Linked DNA regions of Macaca fascicularis. The protein of the gene in region 1 interacts with the protein of each later gene in a biochemical or structural test. Links are inferred from orthologs where the notes say so. Each region holds a gene or a part of one and is shown on either strand. Other genes may lie near its edges. The genes, in order: VCPIP1 and WAC.

What was found.
Region 2: the proteins of VCPIP1 (region 1) and WAC form a complex in vitro, tested with the Homo sapiens proteins (2 studies listed by BioGRID). The link is inferred for Macaca fascicularis from reciprocal best matches to the Homo sapiens genes VCPIP1 and WAC.

The regions. Positions count from the first base shown.
Region 1 is NC_088382.1:76,653,411-76,657,685, reverse strand, and holds the start of VCPIP1 (deubiquitinating protein VCPIP1), read left to right. Parts: upstream 1-1,183; 5' UTR 1,184-1,430; coding exon 1,431-4,137; intron 4,138-4,275. UniProt on the Homo sapiens protein: Deubiquitinating enzyme involved in DNA repair and reassembly of the Golgi apparatus and the endoplasmic reticulum following mitosis. Necessary for VCP-mediated reassembly of Golgi stacks after mitosis.
Region 2 is NC_088383.1:29,313,300-29,317,120, forward strand, and holds part of WAC (WW domain-containing adapter protein with coiled-coil), read left to right. Parts: intron 1-367; coding exon of another isoform or gene 368-491; exon of another isoform or gene 492-608; intron 609-1,224; coding exon 1,225-1,414; intron 1,415-2,682; coding exon 2,683-2,810; intron 2,811-3,821.

The DNA.
Region 1 (4,275 bases):
CTTGGGCAAGTTACTTAATTCCTTTTAGTCTCAGTTTCCCTAATTGTAAATGAAGTCAACACCACCTGGTAAAGGTATTACAGGACTGGTGAGGATGATACATGTGAACATATTACTAAAATGTAAACTATAAGGCAATAGTAAGCAAATGCTAGTTACTATTCTATGTAATACAGGCCTAACCTTTCCTGCCTATGTCCTTATCTGTAAAAAGAGGACGGATTGAGATCTGAAGGTCTATCCAGTCACTTATCAGCTGCGTGAACTTTGGCAAGTCATTTCCTTTCTGGGCCTGTTTCCTAAGAAGGTTATTTTTAAGATCAAATGATAATCGTGTTATGCAAATGCTGTCCAGGCACATATTAAGCACTTTATAAATGATAGCTCTTATTACTCTGTAGGGGGCTAGGGTGGTAAAGAACAAATGAAATTAAACCTAGTTAAGAGGCTTTGTACATGCACATAAAACTCTACAGACATCCAAGGTACCGTTATTTGTACTGTAAACTGCCAAGACACGCAGGAAACGGGAACTCAAATGGCGCCTCAGTGACTCGCACTAGAGAGGGGGAGAAGGCAGAGCTTCCGAGAATCAACTATTTTCCCCCTTATGGCTTTCAGCCTAGATTGGACCATTTATTCAATTTCCCAGCCCACAGTATCCCTGGACATTTATTTACTGTACCTTTTTCACTGAGATCCTTTCCACTCCCCTCCCCTTCTAGTAGTCGTGAACTTCAGACCCTCTCCTTCGACTCCCACTGCCTTTAACTCTGGTTTTAACCAAGCTTCCCTGAATCCTTCCCTCCGCCTAAGGAGGAAGTGCAGCTGGACGCACCGCACGGCATCCTAGGAAATGTGGTCTCTCAGACTCTTTGGCTTGGGCTGCAGAGTGGGGAAGAAGACGAAGGGGAGCCCAGCAAAACTACAACTACCGGCAGGCAACGCGAGTCACCATCTTTCTTTGGCCCCTTTTCCTCTTGCCGTCCTCTTCCTCCTCCCCGCTAGCGCTGAACCGCTTGGCCTCACGGTACTTGTAGTTCCTTCTGGACTCAAGATCCTAGGGCTCGATGGCCAGCACAGAGGCTAGGAGACTCTAATTCCCAGAGGGCAGAGCGGAAGCTGCGCCTGCGCACACGCAATGAGGGCGTGTATGTCTGTGTCTGAGGGAGAGAGCGAGAGTGAGTGAGTGTGAGTGCGGGGTGGGGTGGTGGCCGTTACGTTCGGGGCAACGGCTACGGCAGTGGAGAAGTAAGAAGAGAAACAACGTCCGGCGCTTCCGCCTTCGCTTAGGAGGAGGAGGAGCTGGTAGGGAAAGGAAAGTGTTTCACCCTGGGCCTGGATTAGACCGAGTCGGGTTGGTGGGGGTCTGGGCTATGAGCTTTTGAGGGTCGCTTGGGACGCGGAGCAAGACACGAGAGCCGGGAGCTATGTCTCAGCCGCCGCCGCCGCCTCCGCTGCCGCCGCCACCTCCTCCCCCTGAGGCTCCACAGACTCCGTCGTCCCTGGCGTCGGCGGCTGCTTCGGGAGGGCTTTTGAAGCGGAGAGACCGGAGAATCCTTTCCGGGAGCTGCCCGGATCCGAAGTGCCAGGCGCGTCTGTTCTTCCCGGCCTCCGGTTCTGTCAGCATCGAGTGTACCGAGTGCGGCCAGCGGCACGAGCAGCAACAGCTGCTGGGGGTTGAGGAGGTGACCGACCCGGACGTAGTGCTACACAACCTGCTGCGGAACGCGCTGCTCGGGGTGACGGGGGCACCCAAGAAGAACACGGAACTGGTAAAGGTGATGGGCCTTTCCAACTATCACTGCAAATTGTTGTCGCCCATATTAGCTCGCTATGGAATGGACAAACAGACAGGCCGGGCCAAGCTTCTCCGGGACATGAACCAGGGCGAACTGTTCGATTGCGCCTTACTGGGCGACCGCGCCTTCCTCATAGAACCAGAGCATGTTAACACTGTGGGCTATGGCAAGGACCGCTCCGGAAGCCTCCTGTATTTGCATGATACTCTGGAGGACATTAAGCGGGCCAATAAAAGTCAGGAATGTCTCATTCCAGTGCATGTGGACGGGGATGGACACTGCCTGGTGCATGCTGTGTCTCGTGCTCTAGTAGGCCGAGAGCTCTTCTGGCATGCCTTAAGAGAGAATCTTAAACAGCACTTTCAGCAGCACTTGGCCCGATATCAAGCTCTGTTCCATGACTTCATTGATGCCGCTGAGTGGGAGGACATTATCAATGAGTGTGACCCTCTGTTTGTACCACCTGAGGGTGTTCCCTTGGGCCTGAGGAATATCCACATATTTGGTCTTGCCAATGTGTTACATCGTCCTATTATTCTGTTAGATTCCCTCAGTGGCATGAGAAGCTCTGGTGATTATTCAGCCACCTTTCTACCTGGGCTCATCCCTGCAGAGAAATGCACTGGGAAAGATGGTCATTTGAACAAACCAATCTGTATTGCATGGAGCAGCTCCGGTAGAAACCATTATATCCCCTTGGTAGGCATAAAAGGGGCTGCTTTGCCCAAACTGCCTATGAATTTGCTTCCTAAAGCATGGGGTGTGCCTCAGGACCTTATTAAAAAGTACATCAAACTTGAAGAGGATGGTGGTTGTGTTATTGGAGGTGACAGAAGTTTGCAAGATAAATACTTACTTAGGCTTGTTGCTGCTATGGAAGAAGTCTTTATGGACAAACATGGTATCCATCCTAGTTTGGTTGCTGATGTCCATCAGTATTTCTACAGAAGGACTGGAGTGATAGGAGTTCAGCCTGAAGAAGTCACAGCAGCTGCTAAAAAAGCAGTAATGGATAATCGCCTTCACAAATGTTTGCTCTGTGGTGCCCTTTCTGAACTTCATGTTCCTCCAGAGTGGTTGGCTCCTGGAGGGAAATTGTATAACCTGGCAAAAAGTACTCATGGACAGCTGAGGACTGACAAAAATTATAGCTTTCCCTTGAACAATTTGGTTTGCTCATATGATTCAGTGAAAGATGTTCTGGTACCAGACTATGGATTGAGTAACCTAACAGCTTGTAATTGGTGCCATGGCACATCTGTGCGAAAGGTCAGAGGAGATGGTTCTATTGTGTATTTGGATGGAGACAGAACTAATTCTAGGTCCACTGGTGGCAAATGTGGTTGTGGATTCAAACACTTTTGGGATGGTAAGGAGTATGACAATCTACCAGAAGCTTTCCCTATTACTTTAGAATGGGGTGGAAGAGTGGTCAGAGAGACAGTATATTGGTTCCAGTATGAAAGTGATTCATCTTTGAATAGTAATGTTTACGATGTTGCAATGAAACTTGTTACCAAGCACTTTCCAGGTGAATTTGGGAGTGAAATCCTAGTTCAGAAAGTTGTCCACACTATATTGCATCAGACTGCCAAAAAGAATCCCGATGATTATACTCCTGTAAATATAGATGGTGCTCATGCCCAAAGAGTTGGAGATGTTCAAGGACAAGAATCAGAGTCTCAGCTCCCAACTAAAATTATTCTTACCGGACAGAAAACAAAAACTTTGCACAAGGAGGAGTTAAACATGAGTAAAACTGAAAGAACTATTCAACAGAATATTACGGAACAGGCTTCTGTAATGCAGAAACGGAAAACAGAGAAGTTAAAACAAGAACAAAAAGGGCAACCCAGGACTGTTTCTCCCAGTACCATTCGTGATGGTCCATCCTCTGCACCTGCTACACCTACCAAGGCTCCCTATTCACCTACAACTTCTAAGGAGAAGAAGATCCGAATCACAACTAATGATGGACGACAGTCCATGGTTACCCTTAAGTCTTCAACAACCTTTTTTGAACTTCAGGAAAGTATAGCCAGAGAGTTCAACATTCCTCCATATTTACAGTGTATTCGATACGGGTTTCCTCCTAAAGAGTTAATGCCACCACAGGCAGGAATGGAAAAGGAACCAGTTCCTTTACAGCACGGCGACAGAATTACAATAGAAATTCTAAAAAGTAAAGCTGAAGGTGGTCAGTCTGCTGCAGCACACTCAGCCCACACTGTGAAACAAGAAGATATTGCTGTTACTGGTAAACTGTCATCTAAGGAACTTCAGGAGCAAGCTGAAAAAGAAATGTACTCCTTGTGTCTTTTAGCAACATTAATGGGTAAGATACATTTAATTCTGATGGTATATCTTAATTGTAAATATAATACACTGAGTTTTCCTGTTGTCTTTGGGGGAAAAGAAATCTGTGGCCATTGTAAGTTTTTAATTATATATTTCAGGAGAGAATTATTTTTAG
Region 2 (3,821 bases), on another chromosome or scaffold:
TTGTACCAGAAAGGCACATGATTTTACAATATTTGTTGGAATTACATTGCTTTGTAACCTCCTCATAGCAGTTTTGGTTTGAGTATATTGATGAAAGCCAAAGTCTCCTATCTAAAACTTGGGCCGATGTTTCCCGTGTATGTCAGGCTTTCCCAGTAGCTTAACTGTGACCCTATACAGATGACTTTTAGATAGTTCTATACTGCTGTATTGTGTTAGCACTTTTCTGTGTTCATTAACAACACAACTTTAAATGACATTTGTTGAATGAATGGTTTTCATTTGATTGATTTTCCTATTTTTTATTTCATGCTATGAGGTAGCAAAATAATTGAACTGTTGTTTTTATTGTTGTTTTCTAAACAAGCATTTCAGAACTTATACCTCCAAATGAGAGTTGTTCCCTTCAAACTAATCACCTTGGGAAGCTGTCTACTTACTCCAGCAATGTTGCCATTGCTCAGAACATTTTTGGGAAATTCTTCTTTTAAATTGTTTTTAGAGGCTGCAGTATTATTTTAAATATCCTCAGTGATGAAAACTCTTCATCCTTTGGGAGATTTAGTTTTTGGAAATAACTGAAATTCATTCAGAGCCAAGTCTGGTGAAGCAGGTAGGAGATCAACTTGGGTGATTAAATTTTTTGGTTCTCGCCACCATATCCCCAACCCTGGCCCAAACCATTCAGTTTTAAAAGAAGATAAACAATCTCAGAGTGTTATTTTTTTGGTTTTGTTTTGCCACTATGCTTGCTCAGTGCTATCCAACAAAATGTTTGTATTTTGCTTCACATTATTTCACCCTCTGATTCAGCAGTTCTGACGTTGAACAAAGGCAATATATATTTTCCCCTTACCTAGATGTATATGAGACAGTCTTCACATGTGCATTATATCTATAGCTGTTAAAATGTGACCATTTTTTAGTTATATTCTTATTAGTGTTTGTGGTACACAAAGTTAACAGGTTCTGCTCTCAGATTTGGAGAGTACAGTTTACATTAGACTCTGACAGTCGTGTTAAAAAGGCTTTTTCCCCCTAAAGTGTTTTGAGGAATAATATACTTTGGATTGTTAATTCTCTTTATTTGATGTTAAAATAACAAATTTTTCTTAGGAATTTGGGTATCTTTAAGTTAATAAAAGGTACTAACATGCAGTTTATAGGATAAGGATACCCAGAAACTACTTTTAAACATATTACACATTCAATTCTGTTTTCTAGTAGCCAGAGAAGTCCTTCACCTGGTCCCAATCATACTTCTAATAGTAGTAATGCATCAAATGCAACAGTCGTACCACAGAATTCTTCTGCCCGATCCACGTGTTCATTAACGCCTGCACTAGCAGCACACTTCAGTGAAAATCTCATAAAACACGTTCAAGGATGGCCTGCAGATCATGCAGAGAAGCAGGTATGTTAACGTACAGCCTAGATTTTACCTTTGGGTGATTAGCAAAACAGAACTTAATCAACTTCTAGAAAATCTAATGTAGACCACTGAATTCAAGCAATACTTAAAATAACAAATCTCTAACTTTGTAGTCATTTAAAAAATATTTGACATATAAGGTAACTTTTTTGGTTTTACAAAATATTTTAACATAATTATAGCCCCTGTTGTCAGGTACTCAGCAGTTAGCTCAGTGCTTATTGCCTTATATTTATTTTCTCTACTTCTTAAAACAGCTAAGCAGTGTAGATAAGAGTTTTCTCATTTTGCCATTGAAGTCCTTAAGACCAAATAGTCCATAAAACCTTGATCCCAAGGTCACCCCATTAACACAGTGATGTGGCTCAAAGCCAGTGTACTTTTTCCACTCAGCTGCTCTGATAGTTTCAGAATCCATTAGCACCGTTAATCTACTGGCCAAGTGCAGTGGCTCATACCTGTAATCCCAACACTTTGGGAGGCCGAGGCAAGTGGATCACTTGTGGCCAGCCAGGAGTTGGAGACCAGCTTGGCCAACATTGGTGAAACTCCATCTCTAACCATAAGTACAAAAATTAGCCAGGCGTGGTGGCATGTACCTGTAATTCCAGCTACTCGGGAGCCTGAGGCACCAGGATTACTACTTGACCCCAGGAGACAGAAGTTGCAGTGAGCCGAGATTGTGCCACTGCACTCCAGCCTGGGTGACAGAGTAAGACTCTGTCCCCCCCCCGCCAAAAAAAAAATGTTTTATTTTGCTTTGGGGTGAGACACCTTAGGACATTCCAGTTACTGTTGATTTGCCTCTTTTTATCAGATAACTGACCATCTGGGGTGTTCGAAAGTTTGCAGAGAATATGTCGTGTGTCTTACCATAGAGAGGAGTATAGTGAGGCTCTTGAATCAATACCTAATTCCTGAACTTGCAGAAATGACAGTCTCTTTGGCTGACCCAGCATCTTTTATTAACCACAAATTATGCGTCATTCTTTCTTAGTGCTGTATTAGCTTCAGATTGGAAATCCTATTTTCTCCAACTTGGAAGAGAAATACTAAAATAAGTACCTTCCACCCTTATAGACAGTTTCTTAAAAGAAATTAATTTTCCCCATTAGATTCACCAGCATTTTTGTGTATTTAAGGGAGAAGGATTATTCTCTAATCTTAAATATAAAATTTTACTCAGAAATGTAATGTTTTATTTTGTGTATGTTAATGTTTATATTTTATGTTTTGTTCATTAATTACAGGCATCAAGATTACGCGAAGAAGCGCATAACATGGGAACTATTCACATGTCAGAAATTTGTACTGAATTAAAAAATTTAAGATCTTTAGTCCGAGTATGTGAAATTCAAGCAACTTTGCGAGAGCAAAGGTAAGTCTTTCACTGAAATACATTTTTATGTTGCTCAGGATTATGATTCTTAAATCGAACTAAAGAATGTAAATGACATTTTATTTATGAAATGTAAAGTTCTCTTTGATACATTGATCACATTCTATCATTGCATTTTCATAAGTTATTAATATTCCTCGTGATGGATAAAGCCTGTCGATTTTCTCTTAACCCATGATGAATGCTTCATTAGACTTTTCTCATAACTCCATAAGCTGCAATAATATATTAAAAAAATGAAATATTGACCACAACTGATTATAAATGTTCTCTCTTGCTGAGGGTGTTTCCATTGAAATTTCTGATTATTTGTCCTTGCATCACCAATAGATCTCTTGAAAAGTATAGAAAGAATTTGTCTAGCAAGTTTAGTGTATCTGCTGTCTCAGTATTTTTCACCTGAACTCTTGTGTCGCATTTCTTGATCTAGTGTTTCACTCAAGTAGAATATCTACGTCACAATAATAATAGCATAGGTATTTTTTTTTTAATGCCTATTACAGAATTGAGGACAGACTTGGCAGTGGCTTTATGTCCTGTCTGTGCAAGTCACAGAGTTACAGGTAGAGTTAATCTTGTCAAGAAACCATAAATATTTAGTAAATACCAAATGGAGTTTATAGTACAACTTGAAAAAGTAAGTTTATTTACAGTTACTAAAATATCTAGAGGTACTCTTTGAGTAACAACTTGGGTTCTTGTACTCTCAGATTGCTCTGAAAGTAATTCTAACATAAACTTCATTTTGGCTTGTTACATCATTCTACTTTTAGGAATTCATTATTGCATCTTAGGAAACAGTATATACAGTCAAATATCAAGCCAGCCTGATTATGCCTAATTCATGGCTACAGGCAATAAATATTATAGTTCCCAGAAGAGAGGAGTAAAAACAGGAAATATTTTTACATTCATGGGAATCTGGGTAACTGTGGGGTTTGTGTGTTTCAGTTTTTGGTTTTTGGCTTCATTTTTATGTACCTACATCTA